Rhinolophus ferrumequinum: one gene and its partners. The protein of the gene in region 3 interacts with the protein of the main gene of each other region in a pairwise test. Links are inferred from orthologs where the notes say so. Each region holds a gene or a part of one and is shown on either strand. Other genes may lie near its edges. The genes, in order: NDRG4, SNX12, ARL6IP1 and SNX11.

Evidence for each region.
Region 1: the proteins of ARL6IP1 (region 3) and NDRG4 interact in binary tests that used the Homo sapiens proteins (3 or more experiments, as listed by UniProt). The two-hybrid records come from large-scale screens. The link is inferred for Rhinolophus ferrumequinum from reciprocal best matches to the Homo sapiens genes ARL6IP1 and NDRG4.
Region 2: the proteins of ARL6IP1 (region 3) and SNX12 interact in binary tests that used the Homo sapiens proteins (3 or more experiments, as listed by UniProt). The two-hybrid records come from large-scale screens. The link is inferred for Rhinolophus ferrumequinum from reciprocal best matches to the Homo sapiens genes ARL6IP1 and SNX12.
Region 4: the proteins of ARL6IP1 (region 3) and SNX11 interact in binary tests that used the Homo sapiens proteins (3 or more experiments, as listed by UniProt). The two-hybrid records come from large-scale screens. The link is inferred for Rhinolophus ferrumequinum from reciprocal best matches to the Homo sapiens genes ARL6IP1 and SNX11.

What each region holds. Positions count from the first base shown.
Region 1 is NC_046298.1:10,731,265-10,738,871, reverse strand, and holds the start of NDRG4 (protein NDRG4), read right to left. Parts: upstream 3,011-7,607; 5' UTR 2,835-3,010; coding exon 2,798-2,834; intron 1-2,797. UniProt on the Homo sapiens protein: Contributes to the maintenance of intracerebral BDNF levels within the normal range, which is necessary for the preservation of spatial learning and the resistance to neuronal cell death caused by ischemic stress.
Region 2 is NC_046284.1:1,884,661-1,891,618, forward strand, and holds the start of SNX12 (sorting nexin-12), read left to right. Parts: upstream 1-3,955; 5' UTR 3,956-4,094; coding exon 4,095-4,259; intron 4,260-6,958. UniProt on the Homo sapiens protein: May be involved in several stages of intracellular trafficking.
Region 3 is NW_022680357.1:14,985,301-14,993,245, forward strand, and holds the start of ARL6IP1 (ADP-ribosylation factor-like protein 6-interacting protein 1), read right to left. Parts: upstream 3,012-7,945; 5' UTR 2,895-3,011; coding exon 2,859-2,894; intron 702-2,858; coding exon 568-701; intron 109-567; coding exon 1-108. UniProt on the Homo sapiens protein: Positively regulates SLC1A1/EAAC1-mediated glutamate transport by increasing its affinity for glutamate in a PKC activity-dependent manner.
Region 4 is NC_046304.1:34,898,231-34,906,090, forward strand, and holds the start of SNX11 (sorting nexin-11), read right to left. Parts: upstream 3,002-7,860; 5' UTR 2,768-3,001; coding exon 2,673-2,767; intron 376-2,672; coding exon 316-375; intron 1-315. UniProt on the Homo sapiens protein: Phosphoinositide-binding protein involved in protein sorting and membrane trafficking in endosomes. Regulates the levels of TRPV3 by promoting its trafficking from the cell membrane to lysosome for degradation.

The DNA of each region.
Region 1 (7,607 bases), on a different chromosome or scaffold from region 3:
AAAGAAATTGGAGGCTTCTGAGAAATTATTCTGGAGACACAGCTGATGGGTGGGCTATGTGAGGCTGGACTCAGTCAACAAGTACTGAGCACCTGCTGTATGCTACCATGGGAAACTGGCCACCACCCTGACTGTGACCTGTTTATCACCAGCAGGAAGATGGGTCAAAATCTCACAGATGCGGCCGGCCCGGTGGCTCAGGCGGTTAGAGCTCTGTGCTCCTAACTCCAAAGGCTGCTGGTTCTATTCCCACATGGGCCAGTGGGCTCTCAACCACAAGGTTGCCAGTTTGATTCCTCAACTCCCGCAAGGGATGGTGGGCAGCGCCCCCTGCAACTAAGATTGAACATGGCACCCTGAGCTAAGCTGCTTCCCGGATGGCTCAGTTGGTTGGAGCACAGGCTCTCAACCACAGGTTGCCAGTTCAATTCCTTGAGTCCCGCAAGGGACGGTGGGCTGCGCCCCCTGCAACTAGAAAACGGCAACTGGACCTGGAGCTGAGCTGCGCCCTCCACAACTAAGACTGAAAGGACAACAACTTGAAGCTGAACGGCACCCTCCACAATTAAGATTGAAAGGACAACAACTTGACTTGGAAAAAAGTCCTGGAAGTACACACTGTTCCCCAATAAAGTCCTGTTCCCCTTCCCCAATAAAAAAAAAAAAATCTCACAGATGCATATGAGCAAGAATAAAGATGGGTGGGGACATATCCGAACTTCCTAGCAGTCAATCAGCCAGGGAACATGAACACTATTACAGGACAGTCAAGATCAAGGAGTCCGAGAGGTGCCCACCACCCAGGACCCAGCCAGGTGTGTCAGCTGTGCTATCTCAGCGAGCCTCACACCACCTCTCAGAGGGAGGGCTCAACAGTTCCATCTCTAAGATGAGAACTCTGAAGTTAGAGAGGTTAAGCAACCTGTCTGAAATCACACAGCTGCCCAGCAGTGGGGCTGGGACTTGAACCCAGATCTGTGGGACGGGAGGAGTTTGAAAGAGGGAGATGGCTGCAAAAACCACACGACAGCGACTGGGGATGGCCTGGTGAGAGGTGCAACTGTGATCAATGACAATGAAGAAGGGGTGCTGTTCCAGCCTGGCTGGGGCTGAGAGAGTCGGCCAGAACTGAGAGAGGCGGTCTGATGAGGGAGGAAGGGCCTGTCTGAACCCCCTGGGCCCCCACTGGAGCCCCACACATGACGCTTGCGAGCATTCCTCCCCCAGGCTCTGCAGGGCGGGAAGAGGAGGAGCGGAAGGATCCAGGAGCTTGGTCGCGCATGCAAGGTTATAAAACCCACTGGGTTGGAAAACCTTTCCTTCAGGGGATTAACAAGTTCAGTGCCCTGTGCAATCCCCTTTGAAGTCAGGTGGGTGAGCTGGCTTCAGGGGGCTCTACAAGGAAAAGTTGGCAAGGAATTGCAGGGGGTGCCAGCCTGGTGGCTACCTGGGCACCGATCTGGCACTTCTGAGCACCTGGCAGTTTCCAGTGCCCCACTTTCACCTCACTAGAAGTCTGCCACCAAACCAAGGAGCGGCCAGCCTGCAACCTCACCCCACCTACTCCCCAAACACACACACACACATGCACACGCGTGCATACACATACATACACACACGCACACACACACATGCACACACGCACACACACACACACTCTCTCCAGGCCCTCCAGTCTCCACTTCACATCACTCCCAGTTCAAGCCTCTCACACCCCAGGGCCTCTGCATATACCAGTCCCTCCATCCTTCAGCCTGTAATGCCACCTCCTTCTCCATTAATAGAAATCTTATCTTACAGGGTCCAGTTCAAATGCTGCCACATGCTCAAATCTTTCTGCTCCCCTCGTGTCCCCCACTCCGACGCCAACCTGTTTCCTGAGTGCACCCCCACACTGCTGCCCCCTTTTCTGTCTTGTAACAGGGTCCTGTGCTCTGCTCTCCTGCACCAGATGGTAAGGCAGAGGTCAGGGACCAGACCTCTTGAGTGCCAGAGGACAGTGCTGGAATCCACGTGTCCATCCAGGACACACTGAGCACCGCCACCACCCAGGCACTGGTGGGGTCCAGACTGCGTCCCTTTCCTAGCCCCCGTCCTCCTGTCCGAGTCTCTCCACACATCTTTCCACAGAATCTGCCTGTGCAATTCGCCCTTTGTGCCTGGGAGCGCGTGCCCCACCCTTCGAAGCCCTGGCCCAGCGACCTTGCTCCTCCCTGCCTCCTCCTCTTGGCACATCCAATGTCCGCTGCTGATCTCCAGTCTCAAGGCCCTGGATGTGGTTTCCACCATGGGGTCTGGCCACTTCTCCAGGGGGACCCAAAGCTGAGGGGCCCCAGTCATCAGGGTCCCATCTGGCTTCCCACTTCCCAGGCCTCTCCTCTCAGCAGTCAGCTTCTCCTGGGAGAAGCGCTCAGACTATCTCTTACAGGGAGCAGGAATAAGAGGCCATGGCAGGCGCTCTGTCGGGAGCTCCTTTCTTTGGGGACCGAGTGACACTGACTGGAGGACAGGGGTTCTAAACTTCCTTTCCTCTTTTGTGGACCTGACTAGAGCTTGGCTACTCGGAGACACCGGGGGGCCGCTCCCCTGACCAGAGCTCCCGCCACACACGCTCTACCCACCGGGACGCCGGGGACTCAGAGAGCAGCGCAGGGCGGGGCCGGGTCCCGCACAGGCTAGGAAGCAGCGGGCGTCCGCACCCCTCCGCCAGCTCGCACCCGAGCCGCCCCACCCCCCGCCACCGCTCCCGGCTCGCGCTCCAACTAGGACAGTGGCGGGCGGCGAGGGCCGGTGGTACCTGTCAGCAGTTGGATCTTGTGCCCCAGCACCTTCATTTCGGCGCCTGGCGCTGCCCAGCTCCGGGCTGCGGCGTCGGGGAGAGCAGCGCGGAACGCGAGGCGAGAAGCAGCCGGAGAGGGAGAAGCGGAGCAGGAGCAGCAGCCAGCGCCAGGAGCGCGCTTGCCGCCCCCCACGCCGCGCTCCCCCCTCCAAAACGCTTTTAAAAAATCCACCAATTGCACGACCGCGCACCCCTAAAAGGCGCCCGCTGCCACCTGGTCGGGGTGAACTCCGGGAGGCGGAGGGAACGCAAGGGGTGGGTGCGGGGGCCACTCGGGGGCGACGGGAGGAGGCCGTGCGCACGGCGCTGGAACAGAGGCCCTGCCACCCGCGGGTGTCGCGGTGGGGGAGGCGCGGGCGGCGGAGGGGCCGTGGCCTCGGGGTCCCCGCTTCTGGCTGGGAAGGCGACGAGGGAGAGCCTGGGCGCGCTAGAGGCGGAGGGGGTGCGGCCCCGGCGACAGGGAACCGGCTTGCGGGTCTGGGGTCGTGCGCTGTGGCTGCGCCGGGACGGGGGCTGACCGAGGCCGCGGTGGCCGGGGGACAGGGACGAAGGGCCGAGGGCGGCGCCAACTCACCGAGGGCGACGTGAGCGAGGACTAGGCGCAGGCGGGGAGCGGGGCCTCGCCGCCAATGCGCGGGCGCGGGTGGCTGCAGCCCCAGGCCCCTCGGTCGAGCGGCTGCGGGGGGCGGAGGCCCTGCGAGGGCGCGCCCACGTGGGTGTGGTGGGCGTGGGCGCGGGGACGCCGGCGGAGCCTGCAATGGGGACTGGTCCCGGGAGGCCGTCCTGGGAGCTCAGCTTCCGCCTCCCGCCACCGGGGGAGTTCCCGTGGGTGGGCAGGCGGGCGAGCTGGACGCCGAGACCCCGGAGCCTAGCGGAGACCCTCCGGTTCATCGTGTCCCCCGCGTCCTCCACTCCTTACCTCCCGAAGGCTCCTGGAGGAAGGGTCCCCGCCGCTGGGACTCCTCGGGTGGTGGTGGGAGGCCCCGCCCGCAGATACGGTCCTCTTGCAGCCGGGCGGCGTCGTGCTCCCGGGGGAGGGGGCGGCTTCCGCCTCAGTCTTTGTTTAGATTCCCGAGGGGAACCCCAGCCCGGAGGAGGCAGCACCCCACCCCACCCCACCCCTGCCGCCGCCTGGGAACCACTGGGGAAAAGCCCTGGGGGGTCAGGAAGAGCCAGGCGCTCAGGCACCTTTGGGGCGTCTTCACCCAGTCTTCAGAACCCCAGGGTTTACTTGGGGGACTCGTGTGGGAGTGACTGTCTCCAGCAAAGGTGTCTGGGCCCTCAGCCCCACCCCTGGCCCCCTCCCTTGTGTAGTAAGGCACTTGTTCCGCTCAACTCACCTCCATTATGTGAGCGGGAAAGGTAACTGGGAGATTCGTCTTCCTCAGGTTCTGGTCTGGCCCTGTGGCGTTGCTCCCACTTGTCACCCCAAAGGAGGGAGCGCAGAAGTCCCTGGATGGAGTCCTAATGCAGGGAGAATGGAAATCTGATGACCTGAAAATATTTACTTGGACAAAACAGTTTAAGAGGAGGGCTCCTGGGGGCTGGGGTTCTATCCAGACTCTGTGAGGGACCTTGGACAGGTCTCTGCCCCTCCTGGATGCCAGCCTTTTACCTATAGAGTGATTGTGTTGGACCAGGTCATCTGGGAGGTCCAGGAAGGCAGTGGAGTGGGAGGTCTGGAGGATCCTGAAGAGCCTGCCCCCACCTGCTCACCTTCATGGGACCTTTATCTGGGCTGGTTTGTGGTGAGACCCCAGCTTTCCTTCAGCTCCAGGCTGTGGGGGCAGCTGCTATGGCATTGAATTAACGGAATCACCAGTGTTCCTTGAGAAAGTTTGTGATATTTGGTGGCTCCAGATGGGGTGCACGTTCCTGCTTGGGGTGCAGTATATAACCACATAGGAGGCAGCAAGCTCGGGTTCTCCTTACAGCTCTGGGGCTCACCTTGGGGAAATCCTGGCCTCTCAGTTTCCTCTTTTGTAAAGGGGATGGGGGAGGTCAGTGGTGATAGAGTGAACTGCTATATCCAAAACATCCAGGAGCCTGGTTCTGTATATACAAGTTGGAGCGAGTCCTTAAGAACACAGGCTGGTTCTACAATTTCCTGGCTGTGTGGTATCCAGTAAGTTACTTACCTCTCTGAACCTCCATGTCATACCCAGTGAAATTGGAATGATGCTGACCTCAGAGGGTTCCCGTAAGAATTAAATGATGGAACATAAAGTGCTTAGTACAGTGCCAGGCACATGGCTGAAGTGTTCAATAGACAGTCGCTATTATTGATGATAACATTATAATTATTGCATTAGAGATTCTCTCAGGCTTTCCTGAGTCCTACCCTTCTCAATAATTTCAAACTAGTCATTAAACAAAACAAATTGTTGATGTTCTAGTAACATAATTCATGAGGTCTGGCCTTTTCTGAATTGCTCGGAGGAACATAGGCCTGGGGAGGCTGCCTAACAAGAGCTTTGAAACAATGACACTTCTGTCCATGTGTGGAATGGTGTCTGCCATGGCCTTGAACTAATGTAGACAATCCATTTGGCTCAGATAAGCCATGAACTCCACGTGAGCATCCAGGTGGGCCAGGTTGTGGATTTGAACCCTAAAACTGGAGATTTAACAGATGATGAAGAAATGTGGTTGTAAGAACACCTCCCTTCTTGGGGGGAGGGTGGCGGCGCTACTGCAGCAAGCAAAGGTGCTCAGGGAACAGGCAGGTAGAGGCGCCCTGGCCCCTTCTGGAGGAGTCAGCATGCCTAGCAATGAGGAGTCCCCACTGAATCAGCAGAAGGGCCAGTTCTCAGTCCCTCCTGCTCCTGAGTGCCTCCTCCCTATGAGGGGGCACGGGTTCGGGGTAGGCTGGATGGCAGGATTTTCAACAGAGGAAAGCAGAGCGTGTCAGAGGGCCAAGCTGTTGGCTGGGACAGGGGGCCTCTAAGACATGTCCCCCAGCCTTGTTCCTAATTAGCTGAAAGATGCTGCCCAAGTCACTGCCTCCTCTGGACTTCCCTTTTCCCGTTTGTAAAACAGGCAGGAGACTGGCCTGCACCTTGGCTGTAGAGGAGACACAGCCTTTCGGAAGACCTCTCCGAGCCTTCATTTCCCCATCGGGAAACTTGGGCTAATATACCAGGCTGGATAGTTGCAGGAAATAATGGACCTACTCTGGCTAGTTAAAGAGTAAAAGGGCTTTGATAAAATGAGGGCAGGCAGCTCTCAGGATCTCAGGAGCCAGGCCCAACACTGCAGCATTGGTCCGGTGTCAAAACTGCTGCCATCTCTGGGCACAGCCAGCACCACCCCAGGGCAAGGACACTGGACGCTGCCATCGGGCTGCCTCTGAAGCCTGAGGTGGTGCTGTGGCCACTGCTGCATCCTTGCCGGTATGAATTCTGTGTGGTCTTGGCTTCCTCAGGTCACCAGTTTCTAATTCACAGTCAAGAATCGGTGTGTCTACATTTTCAACAACATGGATGGATCTTGAGACTATTTGCTAAATGCAATAAGTCAGAAGGAAAAGGACAAAAATTGTATGATTTCACTCATAAGTAGGCTGTAAAACAAAAAAAACAACAAATGAACAAACAAGACAAACTCAGATACAGACAACAGAATGGTGGTTATCAGACGGGAAGGGAGTAGAGGGAGGAGAAAGATGGCAAAGAGGGTCAAATATATGGTGATGGAAAAAGACTCGGCTTCAGGTGGTGGGCAGATGTCATAATAGAAAGCTGTATACCTGACATTTTTATAATGTTATTAACCAATGTTACCCCCTCAAAAAGGGCATGTCTGATTGGAGGCACCCAGATCAGGTACCCTGCCAAAGCTGCAAGGGAGGCAGGGCAAAGGTGTTCTCAGGTCTTCTAGTGGGAGGTGGGCGTGTCAGATGCTGGCGGCCAAAAAAATGACCGTGCTCACTTCAGATAACAATGGACTTGTTGTGAAACTGCTACGAGATGACGCACATGGGTACTTAACTTGGAGCCGGCATGGAGGGAACACGTGATCCCTGGTTCTGAGATTCATACCCCACTGCAAATCCTGTGTCAACAGGCGGAGCTCCTTCATGCTTTAGTCTTTGATTTTTCAGCAGGTGAAAGACAAAAGGACCTTGAAACCAGTATGGCGTGCTGCCCTTTCAGATACAGAGGCAGCTCTGGTCCCGTTGCCAGGAAGACAGGTGACTGGGTTTTTCCATTGTGGTGATGAATTGGGCTGAGTCACTATTCCTCTCCAGTTCCCTCGTGACCATGACTGGGAGCAAGTAAAAAGAGCTAGAGGTGGGGTCAGGGGTGCAGATGACCCTGGGGCCATAGAAGCTTCTCTCAGCAGAGGAGGATAAGGCAGAAACTGTCCCCCCTCCACTGACACTCCCCCACTCACTAACCATGAGTCAAATGGCCTCAGGGAGAGAAGAGTGGATTCTGTCTCTTCTTTTATAGGATTATTGGTTGAGTGCCTCGTTGGTGCCAAGCCCCTTGCTGTGGGGTGCAGTGGAGAACCACAGCTGACCAGGGCATCAACCTTGCCTTTAAGGTTTATGCACAGATGGAGGAAACCAACTTAGAGTCCCATAATCTAGGTCCTGGGCAGACGCTGATAAAATATGTAATTGAAGTTACTATGCAGTATGATGGGGGCCTGGAGGGACCAGCAAGGGCTTCCTGGAGCCTTTGAGTGGTGGGAAGTCAGTAGATGGAGATGAGAAAGGGGGTGATTGGGGGAGAGTGCCATCCATCCATCCATCCATCATCCA
Region 2 (6,958 bases), on a different chromosome or scaffold from region 3:
TCACATCAAGTTCTGATGTTACCTGTTTGTTTGCCAAGAGATTTGAGTCAGCGGTTTTTTTTTTTTTTGGTGTGATAATTGAGGTACAAAGGATAACTCTGCCTTGCCCAACATCACTTGGTAACTGTGAAGCTCTTTGCCTCTTGTGAAGAGCAAAAGTGTGTGTGTGTGTGTGTGTGTGTGCACGCGCGCGCGTGCGTGCACCAGCTGGTAGCAGCTGTCACTGTTATTACTGCAAAGGATTTAATTAGCCCAGTACCCTCTACTCTCCTCTCTCCACCCTATCACATTTTTCTCTTTAAAAAACCCCTTCACACCTCATTGTGAATTTAACTTGCACAATTCCCTCCGGGCTATTTGATTTTAAGCCTTACCCCTTTACTTACCTGTATATTCAACTTCTCACTTTCCATGAAATCCCCCCACCTCCCCCAGCTATAAACACTCTAACAAACAAACAAATCCTTCTTTGACACTGCATTGCCCACTAGCTACAACACTCCTTTCTTAGGCAAGCTTCTCAAAAGAACAGTCTCTACTAAATGTTTCCACTTCTGCCCCGGTTTAGTTCTCGGTGTCCTGCCATCTGGGTTCTATCTCCAGTGCTCTACTGAAACTGTTCTCATGTAGGTCATTGTCAAATCTAGTGGACGTCACTCAGGCTTTATCTTACTTGACTGTTCTATTGTATTAAAACACTGTTAACCACCTACTTGCTCGTTTGGAAACATTGTTTATTCCTCCCCTTCAGCTCATTCTTGTCTCCTGGTTCTCTTTCTCCTTATTCTTGTCTCCTGGTTCTCTTTCTCCTTCCTTGACCACTCCTTCCTGCTCTCCTTCACAGGCTTCTCTTCCTGGCCCTGTCCTTTAATTTTCTTTTCTCAAAGGGAAATAGTTTTATTTCTTTAATTAAAAAAACAACATACGTTCATTGTTTAAAAAATCCTAAATAAAAACATAAAATCCAACTGAAACCCCACCACAGAGGTAACCACTGCTAACATGTTGATTTGTATCCATCTAGTCTTTAAAAATTATTGTATGTAGATATATCATGTTCAATAATACAAATGGTATTATATTATGATAGTTTTACCAGCTTTTTTCACTTTTGTATGGGCATCATTCCACATCAATGAGCATAGAACATTATTTTAAATGGACACATAGGAGAATCCTGAATTTGGCCATTTACACAAGAGACAGAGTTTTATGATGGAAGTGACTGAGATACAACGTCCGTAAAGTAGAGAACCCAGTACTCCTTTGTAAGACTTCTCATATAAATAAATTCACAAATGAGAAAAACGTGGCTACAAAAATATTCCGTTGTATAAAATGAACAATTATTTACTTGTAAAGATAAGATCCATATTCTGGTATCTTTATGTGAGTATCTGATTCTTTTCTCAGGGTAAATTATTGGAAGTGAAATTTTTGAGTCAAAAGTTTTGATCAATAACAGTAAAATTGTTTTTAAAATATAAAAGTACTTAAATGAGAAGAAAATGAAAACAAATTCTCCCTACTGTCCCTGACTTCTGTTCTCCGGTTCTGCTCTCCAGAGACAACCAGTATTACAAGTTTCTTGAGGTCACAGTGTTTTGCTTTTTTTTTAAGGAGGGCACAGCTGACAGTGGCCCACGCGGGGATCGAAATGGCAACTTTGGTGCCATCAGCACCACACTCCAACCAACTGAGCTGATCTACACTCTCAGCAACCCTGCCTGCCTTCAACAATTTGAAATCTCCTCTGCTTGCCTCTTCACATTCTTGCTTCCACACATGCTGATGACGCTCAAATCTCTATCTAACCCTGGTCACACCCTAGAGCTCCGGGCCAGTATTTCCAGCTGCCTGCTGGACATCTCCACCTGGATGTCCTACAGACATCTCAGATTTCTCCAAACTGAGCTCATTGTCTCCCTTCCCGAAGTCACTCTTCTTTCTGTAATTCCTATGTTGCTTGGTGGTACCAGCATCCACCTAGTTACCAAAATCGGAAAACTAGGGGTCATTTTCAATGTCCTCCTTCTCCCCTCAAGTAATAATAATAGCTAATAGTTACTGAACATTTACTATTTGCGCATATTTTATTTCACTGAATTCTCGCAAAAGCTCCAGAGGTAGGTTTTAGTGTTATTATTTCCATTTTACAGATGAGGGAAACTGTTTGGGTAACTTGGTCACAGTTACACAACTAGGAAGTAGGGCTTTTAAACCCAGGCAGCCTAAGTGCATCGCTCCCACTCTTTAGCCCTATGCTATACTGCCACTGTATCTAATCAGATTCAAGTCCTATCTACTTTAGTTCTTCCATCTCAGTCCCATCTCTTCCCTTTTCTCCATTCCCACCATACCACCCGGCTCCAAGTGTTATTGGCGATACTCTCATGGTTAGTTACATTCGACTCAATTGTATCTTCCACGTTATTCTCATGGTTAGTTACATTCGACTCAAATGTATCTTCCACGTTGCCTGCAAAATAATCCTTGTAAAACACAGATCTGATCATGGCTTCTTCCTGTTGAAGACGGCTCAGTGGTCTACATCATAAAGCCAGAGCTTAATATAGAAGGATCACCCTCATCTGCCCATCTCCAGCCAGCCTGTCTCTCTAAGCACTTCTATTACATACCCTGTCAGAATTGATAATTGCTTAAAAATATCATGCTGTATCTTACCGGGATGGCTTTGCATACGTTATTCCCTCTGCAAAACATTACATTTCCCCATTTCCTCTTATTTGTCCTTTACGTGTTTCATGTCTGTCAAACTCAGATGTTTTCTCCTCCAGGAAGCCTTCCCTAATTCCTCCAAGTCATTCATGTCCTATGTGGTGCTTTGAATATTCGTTTATTTTGTATTTGTCACATTATATTCATTTTATGTACCTGTCTCTCTTTCTACAGTGTTAACTCCTTGAGGGTAGTGACTCTCTTATTCAAATTTAGGGCTTTAGTGCTTAGTATGGTGCCTGGCACATAAGTAGTTGCTTGGTAGATATTGGTTATATGGAATTAAATAACCTAATTCTGAAATTATAGAGCCTGTACTCTGTTGAAAGAATTTCAGCCATCAGTGATATGGGATATATATATATATATATATATATATATATATATATATTTCGTTTTTTTAGCAGAAGGCTGGTGTGGGGAGGGAAAAAGGATGATTTAAAACTACCCCTCATGTGGGCCATGTGTAAATTAGTCATATATTCATGTTTCTATAGACATTCTCACGTAGACATATATTCTATCTCCATTACAGGCTGCAGGTAACCTCAGAGTAGTGTCAAGTATGGAGTTCTGCAGAGTGAAGATAGAAGGTATGAAGTAAATGCCCTCAGTTTTCTGTATTTGAGCACACCTTGGCTTCAGTTTTATGAGGCCACACGTGGAGGATGAAGATATGCCCAAATTTTCCCAAGAAGTGAGAATGAGAAGTCATCTTCGTTACGCTATCCTCGCTGCTTTCGTGATACCATACAACGCACACTGATTGCTCAGTTGCGTGTGGAGTGAATTGAAACTATCAGTGGCACGAGTGGCAGGGCTGCGTTCGTTCTAGGTTCTCAGTGCCATTGTTGGAACCTCACAATTCCAACAATGAGGCCCCCCTTCTGTTTTCGCGCAGAACCTTACTTATTCAGGTCCCGGGGCTTCGGCCTATCGCTGTCGGACCCCAGCGCGCAGGGCAGTGCCCACTGCTGACTGCTACACGGTGTAAGACAGTCTCTTGGGTTGAGGAGCAGCGATTGGCGGATCCCGCTGGAGTGCTTCCCGGGATACGGGGGGCACGTACGGGGATGCAGGCTCCGGGGCAGCCGCAAGCACCGCCCGGAAGCCTGAATGAGGCCTCGCGGTACGGGACTCCCAACCGTCAGCGTGGCCGCTATACAGGGTGCCGGGCCCGAGGCCGGGGCGCCTGCGTGCGCGTGCGTGCGTGCGTGGGCGCGCGTGCGCGGCGCCGCAGTCTGTAGGTTGGCTGGCTATTTTGCAAGCGGGAGGGGTCGCGCGCGCTCCTGCCTCCGGCCTCTGTCCCCCACCCCCCCTTCCCCGGTCCCGGCCTCGGTCTCTCCTTCGGAAAGATGTCGGACACGGCCGTAGCTGACACTCGGCGCCTTAACTCGAAGCCGCAGGACCTGACTGACGCTTACGGGCCGCCAAGTAACTTCCTGGAGATCGACATCTTTAATCCACAGACGGTGGGCGTGGGCCGCGCGCGCTTCACCACCTATGAGGTTCGCATGCGGGTGAGTCACGGGGTGAGGGAGACAGCTGAGGGAGGACCTGGCGACGGGCCGGGAAGGGCGGGGGGGGGGGGGTTGCCACAGGAGCGACGAACAGTGAAGACGCTTGAAGGGGTCCTTTGGGGGTTCGGGGCTGAATAGGTTTGGGGAGAGGTCTTCAGACGGGGTTGTGGGCCGAGGGTCCACAAAACTCCTGAGGGGGATATCAGACCGGGTGAGAGCAAACAAGTCCCCGTGAGCAAGAAGTGAAGCATGGCCGGATAGGGTGGGGACGATGGACAAGATCGGAGGAAGGAATTCAAGGAACTAGTGGTCACACCAAAGGAGTGAAGGGAAAGTGGGGAGAGGGCTGGGGCATGGAAAGCCGAGGCGAGATGTCGCTGAGGCCCCTAACTAAACTGGGTGGTGGGAAGTCACTGTGAAGAGGCCAGGAAGGCCCGGCCCGGCTTCTCCCGAGGGGGTCTGGTCTCCCTCCCTAGGATGATGGAGTTAGGCAAAGCCTGATTAAAGGGAAGGAAGGTAGACTCCAGGAAAGGCAGACAGTGGGCTCGGTGGAGCGAAATCAGAAAGGGAGTCTCCTGGAGACTGAGTGCTTCCCAGACTGGTGTAGAATTAGCATCTGAAGGAGAGAAGTGTTTTCTGCTTAGGTGTTCTCGGATACCACACGCTGTGTCTCACTGTGAAACCAGGCCTTCCACTGTGATTGGTGGATTGTCAGTCGTTGCTCTCTCATCCTGTGCTTATCCTTTAGATTCCAAGTGTCCAGAATGCTTATTTCAGTATTTATTGGCTCTCATTTGGGTTTCCTGTATATGAATGACCACTGGCCCTTTCTGTCCTAGATTAACCATTTGGATTTAGACCCTGGTCTCTAGTTACTTTAGTATATGACATTTCAGGATTGCCCCAGGAGTGGCTTCTTCAGTGTACACTACAGAGGACTTTATTCTCCAGTTCTTAGTCCACAGTGCAAGGATGGAATGTGCAGACAGCATACATGGTTTGCAGGTTCTTTTGCCCAGTCGAAGTGGTTACGGGCAAAAAAGTTTGAGAACCATTTTCTAATTTTCCTTATGTTTTCTTCTCAGACTAGAGGGCCAGAATATTCTCTGTGGACAGCATGCTGCTCAAACAGCATTTGAAGACCTAAAAGAGTGTATGTGCTTTCATTTTTGAATGAATGAATGAGAGCATGTGCTCCTCCCTGGGCATTGAAATCTAATTGCGAAATGATGGCCTCCAAATTCCAAGTTTGGCAAAGCCCAAACTGAAGAAAGAAAAATGAATAGAAAAAAATGAGAAAAACTCACCTACATAGATAAGAACTACTTGAAATCATCTCTTTGGGGAAGAATGGAAGTTAGAGCCCTCAAAATATCATAAAGGCTGGGAACATTTACTGGTACAGAACGTAATTACCTGGGGAGGACTGGCCATAACTTGTTCAATGTAAGGACTCCGCTGTGGGAGCTTTGGGGACACTGCCGAAGGGCCTTAGGGATTATGAATGAGATCGCTCTCTACTTCAGGCATTCTAACAACAGTGACTGCTGTGTGCCAGGCACTAAACCAGGTTTTAGTTTTTAAACCCTTAGAAAAATGCCATTTTACAGGTAGGAAACTGAAGAGGAATCCAGTTTCACGAACTTGCCCAAGTACACGAAGCTAGTGTATGGCGGGGCTGGGGTTTGAACCCAAGCCTGTCTGACTCCAAAGCCCATCATACTCTTTCCACTATGCTTCAGTCTCTCTGGCTATGCTTAGTTGCAAAACTGAAGCGTACAAAATTTTTCTGCCCACTAAGCTTTTCATCAGTCCTTTCCACAATTTCCAATTGCGTAGTGATGACAGGGCTGGTGGCAGTTCCTGGTTCTGTGGGTTTGGAGTTCATTTGTATTGTTCATGTTCATACATATATACATCTATATAGGCTTTTAACATTTTTTTCAACTATGTTCGGAAAAATTGGTGAAAATCGTTTAGTTTTAAATTTCTTTAAGTGGTCACAGTAGGCCTTATAGGGAGCATGAGATTCAGAGAATGGGCTTTGGGCGTCAGGCATTATGAATGGCAGAAGCAGATGCCTCTTGACGTTGTATAATAGCTATTTCTGAAGCTGTTCTCTTTCATTTTGCTCAGGAAAGAATTCTCCCCCTCCCATCCCCCCAAGAAATGAGGAGTCTGGAGAGGTGTCCTGGTGACTTCACATGATGTGTATGGAAATTTTCAAATGTCAGTTGTCCTTTGGACTTGAACTTTGCTTCTTCTCTCCTTTTCCTTGACTTTGTGTTGGTCAGAGCCCAAGGACTCTATATCTTGTACTACACAATCCTGTCTTCCTCAGGTGATCTGTAGGTTGGAGCTGGGAGACTGTCCTAGTGCATAGTAGCCCTTTCCTTAGATGGCTACCGTGTTTCCCCGAAAATAAGACCTAGCCGGACAGTCAGCTCTAATGCATGTTTTGGAGCAAAAATTAATATAAGACCTAGTATTATATCATATTGTATTATACCTGGTCTTATAGTAAAATAAGACTGGGTCGTACATTAATTTTTGCTCCAAAAGACACATTAGAGCTGATTGTCCAGCTAGGTCTTATTTTCGGGGAAACACAGTAGGTGCTGAGATGACAGGCCATTAACTGTCAGCATCCTGTGGGGATAGGGAAAGAATCTGAGTCAAAGGAGGAAGTTTACAGAATG
Region 3 (7,945 bases):
CCAAAAATTCTAGGTGCTAGAATGGGAACAAGGTAGTCAGCCAAGCACAAAAACATAACAAAACTGGAAACACCGGACAGAACAGATGGATCGAGATAGTAGATAGTCCTGTTTAAAAAAAAAAAAATGAACAAAGGTTAGAAAAACATAGCCATTATTCCTAAGTGTTTATTCACTTTGTCCTCTGGTTCTCAAAAATGTTATTTTGCCCTTTTCATTCTAATTTTCTCACACATGGTTTTCTGGAAGCTTCATAACATCATACATAGCTGCAGTGTAAATACCAAGAGACAAAAGCTCTTTGGGATCTTCAATACTTTTTAGGAGTGTAAAGGGTTCTAAGGCCAAACGGTTTGAGAGTCACCGAGTTATTCAACTGACTTAGGTCACCAAGTTTATGGAAGTACTACAAATTCTGCAAACTAGGCAAACGGCTCAAAGAAAAGGCATTTGTTACAGATTACACATTACAAAAGACTTAAGGCTCCTCCATAAACAGAGGCTGTGTATTACCTAAGCCCTTATTAATAACAAGCACAACCTTAAGGAACAGAAAAGCTCACTTACAAAAACACCAAAGAAACCACGCCCATAGTGGCAGGTGGAAACCAGGCTCTTTCCCACCGCAGGACTTTATCAGCCATCAGCATCACTTCTCCCCATCCTTGCAGCTGCTCTTCCAGACCTGCAGTCTCTTCCGCCTACATGTGATCAACATTTAAAGCCATCATTTTACTACTCTCAACATTTCTGTGGTTCCTAAAGTTAAATTCTTGTAAGGCACCAAGTATGTAAAATAGCTGTTAATCAAATCACTATCTTAAACAAATTAGTTTCTAAAATACTCTACAATGTTGGTACCAATGACAAAAACCAACGGAGGAAAAAAGCTATCATTTAACGGTCACCTCCCAAGTCTAAGAACTGGGTTACTCTTTTCAGGTATGATGCAACATAATCCTCATTGAGCCCCTCAAGGTAGGGATAATTACCCCCATTTTACAAGTAAAGAATGGTTAACTAACTCCCCCAAAGTCCTGCCCTAGGAAGCAAAGTATCCAGAGTATAAAATTAGATCACTTTATGTTCGTTCATTTCGGGTGGTTGGAATTGATCTGTTGTCTTGTCATTTCATTGATTTAAACCCCTACTTCTAAGTCCATTAGGAAAGCCTTTCCCTGAACAGCACTCAGTTTCCAAAATAGCTCTTTGTGTAATGGAATCATTTAGATGTTGACATGATTTGCACATTTAAGAAAAACTACTTTCACCAAAATATATGACTCATTTTAAGCTCAATATATCACCTCTATAGTGCTTCTCACGTTTATCAGGACATTTTGGTTAGACTTCAAATTTCTCTGCTAATCTGACAATCAGCTGCAAGTGGACTTGTAGGATGAGCTAATGTGGCAGAAAGTCCTCTAGCTGATTTTGACAGAGAAAAAAACATTGCGACAAGATACCCATGTGTCCTTAAAAAATGTTATCACAGGGAAATGTGCAAATGACAGCAGCCAGCGCAGCTTAATCTTAATGAAAGATGCTCTCTGTGCCACACTGATCACCTAGGGGACCTCAGTATTTCTGACTTCCCATATCATGTTTAATAAATAAGAGATTACTATGTGAAAGAAACTTGACTAAGTATTTTACACGCTTACACTTTAAACGTCCCAACAAGCTAAAAGGAAGGTGTTACTATCCTCACTTACAGATGAGGAAACTGTAACAAATACACAGACGTTAACAGATCTGAATCCAGGAAATCCAAGGCCAAGAGCCTTGTCCTCCCGAAAAGTCACACTGCTCTACCGGAAAGAGTCCTGACCTGGGGTAACTTCTCTGTGCTTTGATCATCCTCTAAAAAGGAACCTGGCTGGGGCTAACTATGGGGGGGCGGGGGGTGTAAGGAAGTCATGCATTTCTGTGTGTGTGTATAAAGGGGTAATTCATGCATTTGTATTTGTGTGTGTGTGTGTGTGTGTGTGTGTAAGGGGGTAAGTCATGCATTTCTAAAAATGAATGCAAAACGAATATCGCGCGAACCGCCCTGCAAAATCTCTTAATTCGTCAGCACCCGGGCTCTTGGATAATCAAAAGCCCAAACTTAAATTCTTTGCTCCCTCTATTCACTGTGATTGTGGTGTGCAGCTGCCTTTCCCTGGAGAAAGGCAACGGAGAAAATGCACGGATTTCTCTCGGTTTTGCCTCCATCGTGCCATGAAAATCGTAGTGAGGTCAAACTTGTCCGCCTGGGATACAACCAACCTCACTCCAGTGCCTTCGTACCCCTGCTTATTCTAAAGTCGTCCTGCGACCCCCAGACTTACACATTCCGGACAGACGCCTGGACCTCCCACTGTCCTGCCAGCCGTACCCCACTCCCAGTTCCCCAGGGTGAGCTCGCAGCCTTCCTGCCATTTCAAGCTGTGCCAGTTCTAACCGAACTTCTCGGCAGCGGCCCTTTGACCCTCCACCCCTGCGCAAGTTTGGGGCAAAAGAACGAAGTGGCATCCCGATTAAGGTCAAAGAGAAGGAAACCCGCATACGGCTGGGGCCTAGGCCCTCGGCCCCGGGCTTGTCACAGCCCCCCTTTGCCCACTTCCTCAACCCGTATTCGCGGTGACTGGTCACGCACCCTCCTCGCTCCTTCGCGCACCTTTTCCAGAGAATGTTAGGGGACGATACGACTGGCGACCGCCACGCAGGAGCTTCCCAAGAAGCCCGAAAGGGCAGGCGTCGCCGCCTGCGCCTGGAAACCGGGAGAGGGCCAGGGCCGCGGCGCCGCCGGCTTGAGCCTAACACAATACAAAAGCCTCACTCCTTTTCCCTTGCGTCGCGGCGCCGGGACTCACCAGCAGGTTGGTGCTGCGATTATCTCCCTCCGCCATCGTCCCCGAAATACCGCCTCACCGAGCACAAACCGCCCTCCGAAACAGCCTTCCTCCGAGACCCAAAGGGCGACCCCGGCGCGAGGACACGCCCCGCAAGCCGCTTATATAGGCCGGCCGCCTTTCCCGACAGCCCCCGCGAAGCTCGCTCCTCATTGGGCAGCGCGAGCTCAAGCTTAAGGGGAGCGGGACCAACTGCTGCCCAGCGCATGGCTTGAAATCGAGGTCAAAGGAAAGCGAGGCTGCGCAGGGCCGAGGGGGCGGGGACACAGCATGACCAATCAACGCACAGGAGATGCACGATGCCCCGCCCAGGCGTTTCGGAATCTGTTGAACGACCGCTGACCCGGGCTGGACTGGGCCTCAGTATCCCCAGGGTTGGCTGGCACGGTATGTCTCGGAACTTCTCCTGAAATTTAGTTCTCGAAGAAATATGCTACCCAGTATCAGGCGGAGAGCAGAGATGGACATGTTTTGCTAACCGCGCTGTAATGAAAGGGGCCGTCTGGGATCCTCTGCCCGACCAGGCAGTGCCCTCACCCTCGCTGTCCCCCGGGGTTTCTTTTTATTCCTGCTCTGGTCACTCTAGCCATGCCACTGACCAGTCTAGCCGAGATTTGCGACTCGGAGACTCGTGCCCACTTCCTGAGGTTTCGAGGACAATGGGAAAGAGCTATTTATGTAGATTTTCTGCATTTTTTCCTTCCTATTAGGGAAAAGGCTTTAGCTTGATTGGGAGGGATGTAGCGGGGTGATCGGGGTCATACTTTGAGGACTCATGGAAGATGCACCGGCTTTAAAGCTGGCTTATTTACAGGGGGTCTTTTGGAAAATTCTGTGTGAAGCCCTTGAGTTGCTTATGAAGCTACCAGGTTCCTCTCCAAAAAGGACTGCTTTTGACCACCTTACAACTAGAGGTCATGCTAACGTGTCAACTCGCATCAGCAGTGGAATTCATAAGCAATTGAGTAACTAGATGAACTGAGCTGTGCTGAGGCACTTCCCACGCCTTCTCTCTCCAGAATTTCAAAATGAATTAAGTGCTTCGATTTTCGTTATTCAAACAGAGGCATGCCAAATGTTGACCTGGTCAGATGTCTGTTTTAGGAAAACGTAGCATAGCTTTTTAACGTTTTATAGTCATCTAGAATATGCGATCGAATTCAAATTTGTTTTACAAGCATTCCTTACTACCAGGTTGAGAGTTCACAGAAGGCAGAAAAGAAATGTGAGGCAACGGTAGCTACAGAACACATTCCACCCTGAAGAAAGCCAGGGGGACAGCAGCATTGTGAATTTCAAGAAAGTCTTTGAAAAATAAAGCAACTGGATCAGATATAAATACTTGGTGGGGGGAGACTTAGCAAGGGAAGAGGGTCTTCAATAAAGTAATACTTTGGAGGTGTTGGGGGGCAGAAGATGGGTTATGTAGGTAAGATGCAGCAAGTTGATCTAGCGACCCCATTTTTAAGCTATGAAGTTTAAGGGCCCAGCCTTCCCCTACCTCTTCAAAATACGATGAAAGGTCGCAAACAGCAGCAACATAATTAGTGAATACATTGAGCACTGAGAGCACAATTTTGCGAAAGGCACAGTAACATCCACTCCCAAAGGACAGGCCCTAGAGTTATTAGGCTTTAAAAAGTGACAAAAAAAAAAAAAAAAAAAAAAAAAAAAAAAAAAAACCCCACACAAACAACAAAATGACATGTCTGTTTTGGGAAATCAGCTTTTGCTACAGAATACTTCTGGTTTTCACCCAAGTTCCCTATGTACAACTTAAAGACAACTTTTCAACACCAGCTTGTGAAATTGAGGTAGGTGGAAAAAATTAAAGCAACTCCAGCAGCACTTGCTTCGGGGAGTATTTTTTCCTTCCTCGAGGAATGTGTTCCCAGGACTAGATGCAACTTCACAGCCTAGGGGCACTGCCATCAGGTCTTTAAACTTCTAATTGGCCTAACTGAAAAAACACCTACCCTTAGTGTAGCTTCCTTTTGAGCTTGGTTTTTGTACTACAAAAACAGGATGTGATCTTTTTTTAATGTTTCCAATATGACCTTTATTGAGCAAGGACTGCTGTGACGTTTAACATCAATCAATGAAAGGCTGCAGACTGTGAATGTCAACAAGGTTCTCCCATGAACGGAAGTCCATTTTAAATGCACCAGTGAGGTAAACATAATTATTCGTACATAGCTTTCTTAAGGCTAAGAGAGTTCTGTTTCATTTGTTAGTTTTGGCTCAGTTGGTTCTTTGCATAATACAGCTCAAGACATGCCCCCTCTGAGTGGCCCCCCCTTCCAACAGTTTAGGAAATTGGCCAATCACTGAGCCGCTCAGGATGTGATCTTTTGAAACCTGCCAGATGACTAAACCGTTAACATAAATCCTAACACAATCTAGCAACAACAAATGCAGTCTGATTTCCAGACATTAAAACAAGCTGGACGTTTTACTTTTCCTTCAGAGCTTTCACACCCCCAGGAAATGTACACATCAATAATGTTCTATAGTTTTGTTTTTAAATGTTAAACAAAATTAAGCTTAATAAATTGTGCCTTAATACCAAGAACTCCCCCGTTGAAGTAAAATTTCTACTGCTGTTCAAAAGTACTATATAGAACTTTAAGGGTAGAACAAATTACTTTTTTGAGAAGTTGAAAAAGTTTTGGCGGTATTAATGCCTTTTTTTAAAAAAGCTACCCATATTCCAAAATTAAGTTCTGGAAACTACTTCAAGCAATAAATTCAGAGCTTAAATGCTATGTCTTTTAAGAGTTTATTTTTTGAAAAACAGGTATTTCATACAATCTTTGCCATGTCGATGCAAATATGCACAAAATAGGCAGGTATTTTGTTTTCCAAAAGATGCATTATGAACATTTTCAGGAAGCTGGTGTGATTTATTCAACTTTTAATCTTAAATACAATCACAGAATGATATCCGTCAGGAGGCATGACCACCTTGTGTACAGAGAAGCCACTTTATTTATACAACATTTACTAGGACAAGATCCAGTTCAACTCAATTTGCTCTTATAATGAGGGTAAATTAACAAGGGAGTGATGATGAGGTCACTGGCATTACAGATGGAAATACAAGGCATAAAAATTTAAACCAGAAAAACAACTGACACAAGAACTTGAAACAGGAGCTGAACCTGGGACTGTTCAGGAAAAGGAAAACAAAAATTCAGCCAGTTTTCAAAGAAAAACGTTCTACAAGTCTGCATTTCAGAACATGAAAGTCCTAAAGTTGACCAGCTTCCAAAGTCCTAAAGAGCTAGTAGTCGTAGTATGACGTTTTCACATTAGCACACCAGAGAGCTGTTCCCCACTTAAGCTCCGCCAAATTCCCATGGATGGCAAACGACTCCGAAGTAGGTCCCACTGTACAACCAACCCTGGAACCTGAAAAGCTGCTCTAAAGTGGAGTCCATCTGCACGTAAGGGACGGTGATAGTGTTACCCAAGCCTAGAAAAAAGTGCCACAAACCCTTAGGGGTCACAGCAAAGTGAACTGTCCCTTCCCCAAGGTTCAGACCAATTTGTAATGCTAGTCTTTTCTCCCATAGAACGAATCTTTCTAGTACAACCCAAATATTGAAAACAGAGGCTACCTTCTTGAAGTGACCCTCACATTGATATATTGTAGCTCCTTGATTTACGGAGAAGGAAGTTGTAGCTTTAACTTACTGGCACTTTACAAGTTCAAGATACAGAATAGAATGGAAGGTCCCTGGTGTTCAGTCATCTAACTTTACCTAAGACAGAGGTTCTTAAATGTGCTAATAGTAAAGAATCCGCTGATTTCTGATGTAGGTGAATAGGGCCAACTGGCTAATTGTAGGCTAACAGGCTTTCTTTAATGTGAAAAGAAGGGGGAGAAAAGCAGGAGGAGCTGGTGACTGCCAAAACAAGGTAAGCCCCCGGAGTAATTACACGTGTGTGGAGGAAAACAGGCCAGGAAGACTCTTCAGTTGAAAGTACTGCCTATAGTACAAGAAAGACTGAACGTTAACTCTAATATTTGGCTGTACTTGCATTGCCCTGCGGGGCATTTTTTAATGGCTCTTTCCTTAAATTTCACACGACAGAACGGGCACGATTAAACAACAAAAACAAAGCAGATAACACCAAACACTGGACAATATGAAGAAAGCTACATACTAAGCTTAGGTAAGAGAGGCAAGTGTTAAGGGCAGAAGTGATGGAGGTTTTTCTTTGTATCAGAAGCCCTCATCCGGAACCTGGGGCTTGGGCTCTGAAAAGAAGCCATGTGGGCAAGCAGATCAAGAGCTGGGTTATCAGTTCTCTCACATATCTCAAAAAAAAAAACCACAAGTGTCTGACACAAAAGAATCTTAATCATCTAGCAAACTATGTTAAGAACTCGATCAGAAAATAAGGAGGTGCTGCAAGACACACCAAAGAAACAGAGAAATACAGTTCCACGGCCTCCACAACTTTGTAGAGGAATCAACTAAAATTCAGGGCATTCTAGAAAACCGAAGACAACAAAACATTTAAGATAAACCAATTTCCAAGGGTACTTTGAGTTGAATTAGAGGTTGTAGGTTATTCTGTACCCCCTGAATCTTAGAGAAAAGAGGAAGAGAGGAGCAGATCCCTGGTTTTCCACAGGTATTTTGTATCATAAAAAGTGTGTATGACTTCATAACCACAGCACTCTAAACTTGACATTACAAGATAATCCCCCCAATACAGCCCTGACTGCTCCATCTGCTCCATCACCAGGGCCTTTTATTGCTGATTACATCTGTCAAGTTCTCTTACAACAGTTCAGAACGGCAAGGCTACTTACAGGCTGACTTCCAGAAGAGGCCCAACTGTACAGACTCGGCGGGTCCCATCTAGAGCGCACTAAAGAGCGTCTTAGAGGTCATCCATTGTTCACACCTGCCCCACAACCAAACGTGTACATGCCACACTAGTCTGAGGGACCCTTTTAAAAGAAAAGTGACGGATGATTTCCCAGAGGCAAAATATACAGCTATTGATATACAGCTGTTTTGTTTTTGCTTGGA
Region 4 (7,860 bases), on a different chromosome or scaffold from region 3:
ACAGCTGCACAGGCTGACTCAGGATGTTTTCCGCTCCTTTGTAAAGATTCATTAAAGCCTAAGCCGCTGATTTCCCCCAATGTGGCAGTTTACATGTGCAGCCACATCGCCCACTCCGACAAGGGGACCATGAAGGTTGCAGCACGGGGTTACTCAAGTCCAAAGGGGCCCATGATGTCACCTTCTGTTAAAATACAGCACTAATCTTGTTACTCCTAGAACCACTCGAAAAGCATCCAACCTGGCTGCCACCTCCACCCTCTTCTCATCTCTTAAGAGCGGAACAATAAGGTTTAATTTCCCTTTCCAATTTACCTTGAAATGAAAACTGACTTCAGCCAATATGTACTGCCAACAAATGATCCGGGCTGGCTCCTGGGAAAACAAGACTATCTCTAAGATCTCCCTCTCCTCCCCCATGCCCATTCACACCCACTCATTCTTACAGTCCCACAATTAATTTTAAACACATTCCCTTATTAGTTCTGCCTTACCATTAGAAGAGTGTGTAATGAGTTTCCTTCTATTTTATGTTTAGCTAACACAAGGCTAACATTTCAAGAGAATGGAAACTCATTTACACCACAAAATTAGCAGAGCAAACAGCTTTTCCAATTCTTTCCAGTATACCAGAAGGTCTCTCCACACTGCACTCAGAGACAAAGCTGCATGGTATATGACAAAATTGGGCTACATCGTTGAGCAAACCGAAAGTTTTATGATTTCAATATCATTTTAAATAGCATTCTTGCTGACAATCTGATTTTTCATCTGATGCAGTCACCACTGCAAAGGGGTCTGAACTGAAAGGTAGGAAATTCCAATGCCATAACAACCCACGTATAAAATCCCAGATGTAAGCAGTCAAAGGGCTGTGGCCAAAAAGAGCAGGGTGACTCACTGTAAACAATGAACCTCCTCAGATTTAAAAAAAAAAAATTTCTCTTCTCTTTTCAGGCATTTGGTAAATTGCCAGCATATGAGCAGAGAGTTCGATTCTGAAGTGTTTCACAAAAGTAACGACAGGAAAGATGATGCCCAGGAAATCACAGTCATCCACAAACTCCGTGGAGCTCACCTATCTCCTGTGCCTTGAAAGGTTTGTCAAATTCAGGACTATAATTTAGTAACTAAAAGGTCATCACTCTCCTGGGCTCAAGAAGAGTTTGCCTAGGGCTCTGCACCACTTCCACGTGCAAGTTCCTCTCCTTTCCTTTGGGACTAATACCACTTATAAATAAATAGCTATAAATTGGCTTTAAAAAAAATCCTAGGACCTCCCAAGATGCTGTATACTTAAATGTAAATTTAAAGGGCACTAAGAAAGTTTCAGTTGTAACTTCTTAAAAACACTGAAACAAATTTAAAAAAAACCTAGATTCCAAGTAATAATTTCTAGCAACTACGTACTAATCTGTTAGCTTCCTCTCCGTAGATGCCACTCCTTGGAAGGAAATGAAGTTCAGTTCTCTGGAGGGGAAGGAGGAAGTTCTAAACTTCAGGATCTGAGAGATGGAATGGTTTATCATCTAAATAAAGATAGTCAGTGATTCTCTCAGCTACTTATGCAACTCAGAGCTAACTCCATTTCTTGGCTCTTGCAATCACATCTGAAGTTTACTTTCTCCACTAACATCTCCAAGGAGAACCCAGTTGTTTGCTGTTTACAAAGTAAATTCCTTGTAAAGCTTTCCAATCTTTTAACAATTCAAGGCTTTAGCTCCACCATTTTCGCTCCCATTTAAACTACTTCAAGAGACAGGTTAAAAACAAATCAGAGAACCATATGATTGCACTGATATGTAGTATATAAAACTGAAAACAACAAAAGAACAAGACAAACAAATGAAGAAACAAAAACTCATATAGACACAGACAATAGTTTAGTGGTTACCAGAGGGTAAGGAGGGAGGTGGGTGGTAGATGAGGGTAAAAGGGGATCAAATACATGGTGATGGAAAGAGAACTGACTCTGGGTGGTGAACAACAATGTGATGTATAGATGATGTAATACAGAATTATACACCTGCAATCTATGTAACTTTACTAACAATTTTCACGCCAATAGACTTTAATTAAAAAGCAAATCAGGTGATAAAAGTACATGGAGCTACCAAGACTCCTATCCCTTCTTAGTCATTGTTGAGCTCTTGGTGCCAGAAGGCAACTCAAAAATCTCTCCTTCCTAAACACCCACAGGTGGTACAGGAAGCTCCCCCCGCTGACCAAGCTCTGTGTGTTCTCAACCAAGCATCTCTGCTCCATCCTTTTGTCCCTCTGTAACTTGCCAATCCTTCCACTTGGAAGGTAAGTCGCAAAGTTGATCACAATCTAACGCAAGAGCCTCCCGTAAAATGCTTGCCATTACTCTTTGTCCTAGCCGTTTGAGTAAATGTCCCCAAACTCTTTTACTACAGCCACTCTCCTTCCATTCTTAACGAATGGAAGCAAAGGGCCACAATGGTCCTTCTTCTCCTTTGTCTATTAATCTTGGGGAGTGGGAAGGAAAGATGCTTTATATTCCTTTAAAAATAAATGGAAAAGCCACATTTCCTCCCTTGGATGCCGAGCAAGTACCTGCCTTTTTCCCGGGAGGTGAGACAGCCCTTAGGATGTCAAGCGAAGTGCCCACCCCAAGCGCGACTAATGACGCTAAAGTCCGTGGCCCTCACCTCAAAGCAGCACCCAGTCCCTGCGGCCCCGCCCACGCTTCTTCACCTGAGAGCAGCACCCACTCTCCACAGCGACACCGCCAGCACCTTACCATATAGCCAGTCGCAGCTTCTCCTTCCGGGTGAGTAGACGGTGCCCCGGTGCACGACGGGAGACGGCTCCCTACACGCCAATCCCGGGTGCCCAGGACGCCCCGCCCCTGCAGACCCCGGCTCTTAGTGGCGATTTTGCTCGCGGGGCGGCGCGCTGGGCCCAGCTCAGACCCTGGCTTCAGTCAGGACCCCGCACCACTTACTCCTAGCGACAGTGGGTGGACGCCGTGAGGGGTGGTCAGGGCTATGACGTCCAATCCAGGGCCGCGTCCCTCCCATCGTTGTCAGGCCAGCCAATCAGAGGCCAAGGAGCGTCTTTAAAGGTCTGAAAGAGGGACCTCCGGAGCAGAGCGGCATGAGGGGATTGTCGCCGGGGTTTTCATTCTGCAAAGCGCGGTCTTGAGTGTGGGAGGGTCGGGGCAGAAAATGCCCCCGTTCCTGGAGCCTCGTAAAGTCCCGAGAGAGCCCTCAGTTGCACCCCATAGGTTGCAGTTCCCCAGGGGAGTTATCAAGAGGACTTCAACTCAGGTTCGTAAAACCACAGACTATCAGAGCGAAAACCGGACTGAGACAGTTCAGCAACACACGTTTCACTTGCCGAAATGAGCCCAAAGAAGGATGGTGCAGCTCGTTCGTAAGAGCAATCCGTTGAATATGATGAAGGGTTTTTTTCATGTTGTTGAAATATCTTTTAACTACCAGTTTAAAGATGATGTTAGCAAAGATAATATCAAGGGAAAAGTTATGGTTATAAATACAAGCTCTGGAGTTAAGGTCACCTAGGTACTAACCCCAGCACTACACTGACTCTGTGGCCTGACGCTGGTCCTAAATCTTTGTAAGTCTTAAGTTTCTTCATCTGTAAAGTGGAGATTACTGCACATACCTCAAAGCAGCTTTTCTCAAACTTGTTGGTCTCAGAATCCCTTTACGATCTTAAAAATGATTAAGGATTCCACGAGCTTTTGTTTATGTGGGATATTCACCAAGTTAGAAATTAAAATTGAGAAATGAAAAAATATTTATTACTTCACCTAAAACAATAATAATTATTACATGTTAAAATAATATATTTTGTGAAATACAACTACACCAGAACAAAAAAAAAAATTTGAGTAGTGTCATTTTATTACAATTTTGGAAATCTCTTTAATGTCTGGCTTAATAGAAGACAGCTGGATTCTCCTATTTGCTTCCTCATTCTCTATTGTGCTATGTTATTTTGGTCTAGTAAATGAAGAAAATCCTGTCTCACACAGATTTTTTAGCCTTCTGCTATAATTGTGCATACCTTTCTTGGATACCAGCAAAACTCAACAAATGGTCGTTTCTTAAAGGTTAGTTACAATACAGAATCTGAAACAATTTGAAAAATATTGGCTTACTAAATTATGCAGATCTTCCAGATATTGATGCATTATATTATTCAATATTTTAAAAATCCTATTTCTTTTTTTTTTTTTAGATTTTATTGGGGAAGGGGAACAGGACTTTATTGGGGAACAGTGTGTACTTCCAGGACTTTTTTCCAAGTCAAGTTGTTGTCCTTTCAGTCTTAGTTGTGGGGGGCACAGCTCAGATCCAGGTCCAGTTGCCGTTGCTAGTTGCAGGGGGCACAGCCCACCATCCCTTGCGGGACTCAAACTAGCAACCTTGTGGTTGAGAGCCCGCTCCAACCAACTGAGCCATCCGGAAGCTCAGCCGCAGCTCAGCTCAAGGTGCCGTGTTCAATCTTAGTTGCAGGGGGTGCAGCCCACCATCCCTTGCGGGAGTCGAGGAATTGAACCTGCAGCCTTGTGGTTGAGAGCCCACTGGCCCATGTGGGAATCGAACCCGCAGCCTTCTGAGATAGGAGCATGGAGCTCCAACTACCTGAGCCACTGGGTCAGCCGTTTTCTGTCATTCTTTCAAATAAAAACATCCCATGAAAAAGAGCAGCTAATTCAACTCACACATCTCAAACAACTGCACAACCATCTACTTCAGTAAGCAGCAGAAGGGCTTTATGTACATCTTCCATTTCATCACATATTACATTAAAAAGTCATATACTAACCAACTGAATGGGAGAAGATTCTTGCAAACAGTGCCTCCGATAAGAGGCTAATATCCAAAATATACAAGGAACTCATGAAACTCAACAACAAAAAAACAAACAACCCAATTGAAAAATGGGCAGAGGAGCTGAAGAGACATTTCTCCAAAGAGGACATACAAGTGGCAAATAGACATATGAAAAAATGCTCATCACTAATCATCAGAGAAATGCAAATAAAAACCACAATGAGATGTCACCTCACCGCAGTCAGAATGGCTATCATCAACAAGACAAACAGTAACAAGTGTTGGAGAGGCTGTGGAGAAAAAGGAACCCTCATACACTGTTGGTGGGAATGCAGACTGGTGCAGCCGTTATGGAAGGCAGTGTGGAAGTTCCTGAAAAAATTACGAATAGAATTACCATATGACCCAGCAATCCCTCTCCTGGGTATCTACCCAAAAAATCTGAAAACATCTACACATAAAGACACGTGTGCTCCAGTGTTCATTGCAGCTTTGTTTACAGTGGCCAAGACATGGAAACAACCAAAATGTCCTTTGATAGATGAATGGATAAAGAAGTTGTGGTATATATACACAATAGAATATTATTCGGCGGTAAGAAAAGATGATATAGGAACATTTGTGACAACATGGATGGATCTTGAGAGTATAATGCTAAGTGAAATAAGTCAGAAAAAGCAGAGAACCATATGATTTCACTGATATGTGGTATATAAACCAAAAACAACAAAAGAACAAGACAAACAAATGAGAAACAAGAACTCATAGACACAGACAATAGTTTAGTGGTTACCAGAGGGTAAGGGGGGTGGGGGGTGGGAGATGAGGGTAAGGGGGATCAAATATATGGTGATGGAAGGAGAACTGACTCTGGGTGGTGAACACACAATGGGATTTATAGATGATGTAATACAGAATTGTACACCTGAAATCTATGTAATTTTACTAACAATTGTCACCCCAATAAATTTTAAAAAAAGACAAAGAAAATTAATGTCAAAAAAAAAGTCATATACTCTAGGAAAGAGATTTCATAAAGTTAATAATTTGTACTGCTTCATGAAGGATAGCCTTAAGTGAGAGTGGCTTATAATTCTTTTTTTGCATAGGTGTGCCAGTAGAGAATACTCTATCTAGTATGTTGGTGCCACACTGCCTTGATTCATACAAAGGTGCCAGCAGTTTCACTCACTGTTGCTTCTCTACCACCAGTGCAAATGTCAACACATGAAAAAGAACAAATAATGTCTTACTATCATGAAAATTTTGACCATGCAGACTCCCTCAAACCATCACAGGCACTTCAGAGTCTGTAGACCACACTTGGAAAACCCCAGAGTATATCTGCAGAATGTATCCATTCATTCAAATATTTATTGAGCCCTTTCTATGGGCTGGGCACTGTTTTAGGCATTAAGAATAAAGCAGTGAGCCAAAAAGGAATATGTCCTGACCTCCTAGAGCTTATATTTTAGCATCATCCATCTGGAATATTAATAAATGCTTTTAAATAAATTCATTTATAATTTGAATGTAATATATATTTCACAAACAAGTGGTGCCCTATCTCGAGCTTATGTTTTCAACAATTTCTAACGTTTGATAATGGAGCCAATCCTTATCATAGCAGAAAAGTTAGCAAATGATGTAAGTACCTCTCCAAGCAGGGATCCCTTCTTTTGAGAAAACCAATCAATGTCAGAGCTATGGGTGCATTATTTGACAAGTGTATGTTTTAATTATAGTCCATTAGTACCTGGAAGTCACTTGAGAATCAGACCAACAAAGGAAGGTAAGAGAAACAGCTCTTAAGTATATATTTGCCTTTTAAAAGAGATTGCGAGTTAACTGCAAATGAATAAATCTTTAACAACAGAATTTCAAGTAGTAATCAAAATCAAACAAAGACTCTCACACCCATTAGGATGGCTAGTATTTAAAAAAAAAAAGAGTTGAGAGGATGTGGAGAAACTGAAACCTTTGTGCACTGTTGGTGGGAATGTAAAATGGTACAGCCACTGTGGAAAACAGTATGGCAGTTCCTGAAAAAATTAAAACTAGAATTACCATATGATCCAGCAATTCCACTTTTGGGTATGTAACCAAAAGAATTGAAAGTGGGGCCTCTTGAAAAGATATTTGTACACACACATTCATAGGTAGCAGCATTACAATAGCTAAAATGTGGAAGCAACCCAAGTGTCCAACAGTGGATGAACGGATAAGCAAAATGTGATATATTCATACAATGGGATATTCTTCAGTCTAAAGAAGGAAATTTTGACACATGCTACAACATATGTCCATATGAACCTTGAGAACATTTTGCTAAGTGAAATAAGCCAGTCACAAAAAAATAAATACTAAATGATTCCACTTAAATGAGATACTTAGAGTTGTCAAAATCATAGAGACAGAAAGTAGGACGGTGGTTGCCAGGCTGGCAGGAGGGAGGAATGGGGAGTTATTGTTTAACAGGTATAGAGTTTCAGTTTTACAAAATGAAAAGAGTTAGAGATGGGTGGTGATGGTTGCACAACATTATGAATGTATTTAATACCACTGAACTGTACACATAAAAATGGTTAAGGTGGTAAATTATATATATATATGTATGTATGTTTACTACAATATTTAAAATTGGGGAAGGAAATGAAACAAAGAATTTGACACAGTGCAGAGGAAAATATTTTCAAAGTTCTATACTTCCCCACTTCTTAAATCACATCTCAGAAGCAGCTGTCTACTATACCTAAAATGGCTATTGTTTTTTGAGTGCCAACTATAGACCATTCTTTTTACACACTACTGTTAATCCTACAGAAATGCTGCAAGATAGGTCTTAAATAATATTTTCATGTTTTAGATTTTTATGGAGGCTGAGGATAAGAGAAGTTAAGCAGCTTGTCCAAAGTTACACACAACAGGCAAATCGTAGAGACAGAATTGAATCCAGTTCAGCGGGATTCCAAGTCCTTCTTTTTTTGCAACATCGCACTTCCTTCCCCACATTACTTGTGATTTTAGAAAC